Schizosaccharomyces pombe: one gene and its partner. The gene in region 1 interacts genetically with each later gene. Each region holds a gene or a part of one and is shown in the gene's direction. Other genes may lie near its edges.

The links.
Region 2: of cig1 (region 1) and crs1, changing one enhances a phenotype caused by changing the other (phenotypic enhancement), as found in Schizosaccharomyces pombe (one study listed by BioGRID).

What each region holds. Positions count from the first base shown.
Region 1 is NC_003421.2:1,225,419-1,229,875, forward strand, and holds cig1 (G1/S-specific B-type cyclin Cig1), read left to right. Parts: upstream 1-1,807; 5' UTR 1,808-2,126; coding exon 2,127-3,374; 3' UTR 3,375-3,885; downstream 3,886-4,457. Other genes in the region: meiotic cohesin complex STAG protein Rec11, read right to left, coding at 1-234, 292-436, 481-830, 880-978, 1,064-1,176, 1,243-1,507; cardiolipin synthase PGP phosphatase domain-containing Gep4, read left to right, coding at 4,306-4,457. UniProt on the Schizosaccharomyces pombe protein: Required for efficient passage of the G1/S transition.
Region 2 is NC_003423.3:3,451,496-3,455,468, reverse strand, and holds crs1 (cyclin Crs1), read left to right. Parts: upstream 1-1,952; 5' UTR 1,953-2,062; coding exon 2,063-2,350; intron 2,351-2,391; coding exon 2,392-2,551; intron 2,552-2,591; coding exon 2,592-2,647; intron 2,648-2,699; coding exon 2,700-2,880; exon of another isoform or gene 2,881-2,928; coding exon 2,929-3,146; downstream 3,147-3,973. Other genes in the region: myr1 (N-myristoyltransferase 1), read right to left, coding at 59-245; protein mug110, read left to right, coding at 934-1,008, 1,052-1,723; ade9 (trifunctional formate-tetrahydrofolate ligase/methenyltetrahydrofolate cyclohydrolase/methylenetetrahydrofolate dehydrogenase), read right to left, coding at 3,317-3,973. UniProt on the Schizosaccharomyces pombe protein: Has a role in meiotic chromosome segregation.

The sequences.
Region 1 (4,457 bases):
TATGCAGCTAGAAACAATATTGATACATTTTCCATTCAACGATATTTTCTCCATCAGTTTCTCGCATGTCTTGAGGGCAACAGATCGAACAGAATCAATATCGTACCGACATATCTCCACAATTCTTAACGAGAATCTGTCAAGAAAATCAACCACAAAATCTTGATCTTTTTCAGGTTCATGAGAAGAAAGATAATCTATTATTTTTAAGGAGATTTTTCGGATTTGTGATTCCTATACGTTCAGTTAGTATTTAAATGATACAGCAGTAGCGATTGTTTATACACTTACTGCATCAGATAACCCCCAGCCAGAATGTCTAATCAAATTTCTGTTTATAAGATAGGTGGGAAGCAATTGGCAACAATCATATAGAGCAGTAACACACACTATACGAATGCTTGCACGTATATCATGAATCCTTGAGAATAGTACACTAGTAAAAAGGTTAGAGTCGTTAAGAAAAGTAGTATTGCCAACCTATCACAAATGTCGTGAATCATGTCAATGAACCTAGATGTTAAGTCTCTCAGTACCAGAATTTCCGCAGTTTGATTTGATTTTTCGGAAAGTTTGTTTACTATAAGGCATAAGCATCGCATGATATCACAGCAAATAGTTGTTGCAGTATGTCTAACAAGCATCCAAGGACTTGTCGTCATGGTAAAAATCCAAGCTTTTGTAGTTTCCATGAATGAGTCTCCGAGGAATGCGTCTTCCACGTAAACTTTACTGATGAATTCGACCAAAAAAAGCTGAAAACGAATACGCACCGTTTTAGCTTCTTTAGAGTTAGAAGTATAAAGATAATCAGTATAAGCGCAAGAAGACTAGCGATATGTATGGTAAGTAAATATTACAAAAAGATGATGCACACACCTTTTGAAAACTTGAACGATTGACCTGAGACAATGTTTCAGGAATTGAATCTACGTCCTGTACATCAAAGTTCGTAACGAAGGGTTGACAACCAGAGGCCTATGAATTAGTTTACGTTTCAAAGGAAGAGTAAACAAAACAGCAAAAGCTAGAAAACGTCGCGGATCATTCCTGCTAAACTTACAACTAATGCGAAATTTATAAAGGTCAGCATGAAGTCAGCGCTATTACTTTTATAGTCTTCAAAATAATGTTGAGAAAGTTGCTCGAGCGGCATATCTATATCCAACAGTTTGACTTTTCGTATGCTTGTTAGAATATATTATCGAAGACTTTTTTTCTCTTATAAGCAAGCAAACTTACGAAAAAATTCTTGTGGAAAGGCATAATCATGAGAATTTACGTGCATCTCTTCATTCGTCTCTATTTCATTATTTTCTTCATTCTCCGTCAAAGAAAATTCATCTTGTGTTCCCCATTTCCGCTTTTTTTCTGAGGGCGAGGCACAAATGCTGACATTCTGTAAACTTGGACCTTCATATTCAACATTTTCAAGCTCCACGCTTTCTAATTCAGTAAGGACTTCATTGAGATGACTGCTTGCATCTGATTCAAATTCGAATCTCATTGAAATCACTCAATTAATTGGTACGATGGTGGTTGGTTATGGCAAAGATTAATCTAACAGAAACGATGGGTTTGTTTACGTGACACGAGTCGCGTCAGTCAGTCATTAATTATTTTGCAGTTCACATACAACCATTGCAATCAAGTATATAATAATTTATTAAAGTTTTACTTTTGAAACATAAAGTAACTAATTTATGAATAAGAACGCGTTTTTACTCGGAATTTCGGGCTTTTCCCTGACCCCTTTTGAGAACCCACCAACTCCTTTTTCTCATTAGTAGTAGCTCGGTATTCCTTTGCAAAGTCCTACTCCAACTTTTGGTTAATACTCTTGTTCGTTGGTTTCATTTGAGATTTTTAGTTCTTGTACTGTTGTAGTACTAATCTTTCTGGTCAATCCAAAAGATTACTTTCCTCGAATCCTTCGTTCAATAGTATCTTCATATATTTGGGTGTAGAGTCATTTTTTCGAATTTTTAGAAGTCGAAAAGCATCTAAATTTTTAAGGATCTTTTCCAAAGAGAAGACTAGGGTTCCTACCTGAGTAAAAGGCAGTTTGAAAACCGACTTTCATCGCATGTCCAAAACTTTCTAAACAAGTGTGTGCTGGTTTACTAATGGACGTTTCGACTCAAACAAGACACGCAACATATTTTCAAGATGAGAATCAGCTACAAAAGGATCACATTTATGTGAAGAAGAAAAGTCACATCAAGTTAAATACGGGTGTTCGTGCACCTTTCAAGGCAGTAGATAACATCAATCAACAAGATGAACCAACATTGATTGAAGGGAATAATGAATCCTCCATCTCTTCGTCCACTGGCGACACTTTTGAAGAGGATTTTGCATACCAGGACAAAGTCGAGATAGAGGAACGGTCAATTCGCTCCACTCCTAAGTCTATTGGAGATGATGATTTGGAAAACCGTGAGGGCAGCTTTGACGCACCTGAAGGAATTCTTACACACGGGAAGCATAGACTACCAACAATTCCCGAGTGGACCAAGGAAGATTTAGCCGCCCTGTCTGAAGCTGCTGCTCGATTACAAGCTAACCCATCGCCTGAGGATATAGAAACTGATCCATCCATGGTACCAGACTATGATCCTGAGATATTTCACTACATGCAATCTTTGGAAAGGAAGCTGGCTCCACCTCCTAATTACATGTCAGTTCAGCAAGAGATTGACTGGGTTACAAGACATATGCTTGTTGATTGGATTGTGCAAGTTCAAATACATTTTCGTTTACTTCCTGAGACATTATTTTTGGCGGTAAACCTTATCGACCGGTTTCTTTCCATAAAAGTCGTATCTTTGCAAAAAGTCCAGTTGGTAGGTTTATCAGCTTTGCTGATTGCCTGTAAGTATGAAGAGATACACCCTCCAAGCATCTACAACTTTGCGCATGTTGTCCAAGGGATCTTCACCGTTGACGAAATCATTAGAGCCGAGCGCTATATGCTGATGCTTTTGGATTTTGACATTAGTTGGCCAGGGCCCATGTCGTTTTTGCGTCGTATAAGTCGAGCTGATTCTTACGATCACGACATTCGCATGCTCGCCAAATATCTTCAAGAAGTAACCTTGATGGATGAAATTTTTATAGGTGCCCATATTAGCTTCATTGCTGCTACTGCCTACTACTTGTCTATGCAGATGTTGGGTCATTTGGATTGGACTCCTTGCCATGTATATTATAGTGGGTACACGGCTCGTCAATTGAAACCGTGTGCCATAATCATTATGGAATGTTTGGTCGATGCCCCTAACCATCACAATGCCATTTACCGAAAGTACTCGGAGAATAGAATGAAGCGAGTTAGCGCCTTTGCTCACAACTGGGTACTAAGTGTGATTTGAGTTTGCTTTCAGAAGTTGTTAACAATGATATTCTGAGTTAGTTTGCTATTATTAAGCCTACGATATTTATTATTACGGATCATTGTCTTAATATTTCCTACAGCAATCACTCGAGGGCATTTTATATCTTACCTAAGGTAGTAGTTTTTCTCCACTCCGTTTGCTAAGTTTGTCGTTTAAACCACCCCTATTATCCCCCAGAGACTTGGAACTACTGTCTATTTTATAACTATCTTTCCGAATTCCCTCTTCCATCTTGTTTTCTATATCTTTTACTATACTTAAATAACGTTACGGGTATCTCTATTGTAATTATTTTTTGATACCCCTTAAACCATTTTTATTTTTTTGGATTAATACCTTTTTAATTTAATTTTGTCCTACCTTTACACAATCGTCTCATCCGACCTTTGGGCATGATCGACGGGTTAATTGGACTAATTGTTGCTACTGATCTTTATGTAGTTAGGCTTAAACTTTATAAATAACATAACTATTTTTACCTTTTCTCTTCATATTTGTTTCACGTCCTGCATTGGTTTCACAAATATTATTGGGAGATCATTGACAGTCCATCACACCTTGTATAACGATGTTTGCACAGGTCTAGTATTTTCAATCTGGTGTATGTTAGTATGCTTTCAGACATCTATTGTTTTGTAAAAATCAGCCATTTGTGGTTCATCCTTAGTAGTAAAGATGCCTATTACATACTTCAAGTCTATTTAAGAACTGAGAAAACCCACTCGATGTTTTTTAATTAAGTATTCATACGTAGTAATTTATCTCATTTATTCATTTTTTAGCAACTCTAAACTCATTGGACACCAACAAGTTATAATTTCAGCAATCTAAGACGTGTTCTATCATCGTTTAATCCACAACAAAACTAACACAATTGTTTTATTAATTATCATCATCTTTGTTTGGCATGTTGATTAATATCGAGGGAATTCAAGCATTTTGTCAGACAATTCGAAATCCTCGTCGAATAATCCCACATGCTACATTTCCTACATTCTCCCAAATTCCTTGTAACATAAACTACTTTTTGGAACAAAAATTTCAAGTACCAGTTGATAT
Region 2 (3,973 bases), on another chromosome or scaffold:
GCATTAATATGTATAAAAGAATCTCAGAGTATATTTCAACAAACCAGGATAGGCATACCAAACTTAGGAACTGGCTGGGTTTTCCAAAATTTGAAATCTTCGTAAGTCTTTGGGGGAGCTGCAGCTTCTTCTTTTTCTATCAAAGATCTCAACGCCAATCGGTCTAGCAGTTCACGAATTCCTCCTTCAGAAAATGAGCTGTCTTGCTGTGAATTTTTTGTATTTTTATTATTTTCGTTGTCCATCGTAAATAATCCAAAAATATTAAAAATAAAGCAAAGTTGGCCGTAAAGTCAAGTTTGGTTCTAGCTTGGATATTTCCAGATGGACTAGGTCTACTAACGACAAAACGTCGGCTGCATAATAGAAGCGTTTCTCGCCAATGAACCTTCAAAATTTAATTTTACTACTTAATAAAGAGGAATAAAATAAAAAAAATAACTATACGTGAGAAACGCTTCAGCATATTGTTGTCTCCTTAGCGAACCAAATTTGATGATAAAAAAAATTAGTTAAAGTCCTTTATTAATTTTATCTTTAAGGGGAGATGGATTACTTAATGAGTAGCAGACGTTTGCGCTTGAAGCTGCTGCATTAATAGAAAACTCAAAATACAAATCATTACATAAGATTCCATGATCGTTTAAAAAATGAACAATAGATGAAATAGTAAACCTATTTATTTTGTCTCCATATTTTTATACTCGATAAAATGTATGAGTTGAACTTGGCACTTTTTTCGAGCGTTTGTTTGTTTACATGATCTTGGTATTTGCATTATTCGCATGAAGTCGAATCTCATCCTTTAACCATTTGTAACTGGAGTGGGATCCGAAGGAAAATCAATCTTTCTCTCTTTTTTTTGGAGCTTTGCTTGTTATTTCATTAACAAGTTTATGCTAAGCTTGGCTGAGTGCTTTGAATTAGGATCAAATGGTTGAATCGTCTGATGAAAATGATCAAGCTTCTAGCTTTGCTAGCACAGAAGACCTAAAAGAACTACGGTTTGTAAGTTAATTAAATTGTTGAAATTTAAAGGTTAACATTTTAGGTATTTTGGTTTTCTGTTTTAATCCCTATTTTCTTTATTGCCTTGATCATTATAAAAAGATATCATAGTTGTACTTACCAAAAGAACAGACTGCTAAGATCCATTTTCTGCTGCATGTCTATTGATGATGAGGAAGAGTTGGAAACAGATATGTACGATCTTCCAATAGTCGAGCCTTCTATCACTTTACCAAAATATTCTGCGAGCCTTCAAGAAAATGAACGGCTAGTTGGAATTGAAGGTGAGAGAGAAGGAATTGATGTTGTCTTGAATTTTTCTAAAGCTGGCGAAGGCGGTGTAAATCCATATCCATCCTTTGATACGCCTAACGCCAGAATACTTCAGCTTCGTCAGTTGGCGAAACTTAAAAAGCATGGACCTCGCATATCTTATCATGGAATAGGTATTGGTCGATGCAATGGGAATCGTGTCTTACCGCCATATCCAGAACCTGCTTTACTTCCTGAAGCTCCCAATACTCGTGAAGCATCTAACAACACTTACTTATACGGGTTTTCTAACAACTTTATAAATATCTCTCGAACTCTTAATCTTCGTTATCCTTCTGCCTCAGCGAGCATCTCAGATTCATTACCTCCACCCTATCAAGTGTTGTCTGTTCCATCCGTTACATCTACACATGCTTTTTCTAACAATGCAAATCAAACCTGAGTATCTCCTTACTTCACCGGTTCAGGAATGCCATAGTTATTATTTATGCTAGCAGTGTTTTCTCTTCTCTGGAATTTATAGCAATTCTAATACTAATTATTGTTATACTTCTATTTCATGTTTATATAAGTATATGCTATAAGCATTTATATGGCATTAGACTGTTTAATTCTACTATGCATGATTGATATCCAAAAGCATTTTCGCGTAAACGTACCAAAATGACCTTAACCACAACACATACCCAGATACGGCTAGACTTAGAAAATCACTATTGAATTTCTTAATTCAAACAAACATCCTTATTCTAATAATCATTTAAATTATAAAATTTATGAAATGCTTACATCTAAACACGAATTTAGCTTATTCTTAAACACTCCCGCTATTAACAGCAAATCCGAGAAAGAGGTTATTTCTGAAGGGCCGTTAACAACTTCTAATGAAATAGATGTTACATTTTCTGAGTCTTTCTCTAGTCATTTAATAAATCTTAGACGCGTCCCATCCGTTAATTCGATCATTGAGCAAGAGAAGAAAGGACTCACAAAAATATCCCCTTCTATTCTGAATCAAAACATTGCTTATAAGGAAAAGCGTCAGCAACTTTTTTCTGTACTTTATGAAGTGCGTCAGCATTGCTATTTTTCGAGATTCTAACGAAACAGGAAACTGTCGGCTACGTATCTATGGACACGTTGTGCATTGCAATTTCTCTGTTGGATCGTTGTTTCACCGTTAAACCAACTATTCCAACTACCAGTTTTAAAATTTATGCTATCGGCTGTCTGTTCATTGCATTTAAACTTACAAGTGACTACTCAGTTGGTATGTTCGCGATAAAAACTGTTATTAATTTCTTTTGTAGCGAAGAAGTCTTTTTGCGAGAATTTGGCTCCAAGTTTGTCTACAAAAAACTTAGAGGTTTGTAGTGATTTACAGCTCGTTGAAACATGTTTCTTTAACAAATTAATAGAAATACGAGAAAATTGTTCTTGCTTTATTAAACTTCGATATATATGTCATTTCTCTTCCTTCTGTTGAGTCTTTTTTAACACCGTTGATCTTCCAACATGTATTCTTTAAATCCTTGCCTTCTGAAAGCTGTGATCAAATGATGGTTGAATGGCAGTATTTACTGGTTGAGGTAATGAAGGGTTAGTAGATTGATAATATATTAATGGATAGCACGCTAATCTGAACAGATTGTCAATTTATCGAATATAGGCCGACGGAAATTTTATGCGCTTCGTTCTGGGTCTTGCTTGAAATTATTTGGCCTTCTGCGTTTGATTTCAAACCTTTTCAACATTTGTGTTCTTTGCCCACAAATGGTTCTGCAGATGAAACTTATATTAAACACTCAAATCGGTTTCACGATTTGATTATATCTATCCAGCGTATAGCGGATATGTTAGCATAAAGCTTCAAACCCATCTATTAACCCAAATTCTAATGAACTTAATTATTAAAACTAAGCTATTTAATCAAAACTCTAAACCCTTTTTAATAACGCCCATAAACCTAATTAACTAAAACAATAATAAATTACCAATGAATAGCCAACATTTTCTTTATTTCCTCTTAGTAGATTTATGACAGCCCAACAATTTCTCCATTTTCACATATATCAATGTTTAAATAGGCAGGCGCAGTCGGTAAACCAGGAATTGTTTGGATTTCAGCAGCTAGCGGATAAATGAAGCCAGCGCCAGCATTCAAACGCATATCTCTAATAGGAACTGTAAAATTTTTTGGAACATTGCGAAATTCGGGATTATGCGAAAGAGAATATTGGGTTTTCGCCATGCAAATTGGTAAGTTACCGAACCCTTGTTTGATAAACGTATTTATTCGTTCCTTAGCTAGAGAACTAAATTCAACACCGTTTGCTCCATACATTTCTTTTGCAATCACATTTACTTTATCTTCAATTGAAGTCTCGCTATCATACAAAAGCCTAAACTTCGAATTGGATGACTGATCACAAGCCGTCATTACGGACTTGGCCAATTCAATAGCTCCTTTGCCGCCTTGGGCCCAATGATCCGAAGGTACAGCATCCACAGCTCCAGCTTGTAGCGCTGCCTCGCGTATTATTTCATGCTCCTTAGAACTATCAGTCTTATAACTGTTGATGGCGACAACAACAGGAATATTGAATTTATGACAATTTTGAATGTGTTTTACCATGTTGGAACATCCATTCTTTACAAGGTCTAGATTTTCAACAAGATATTCCTCAGGAAT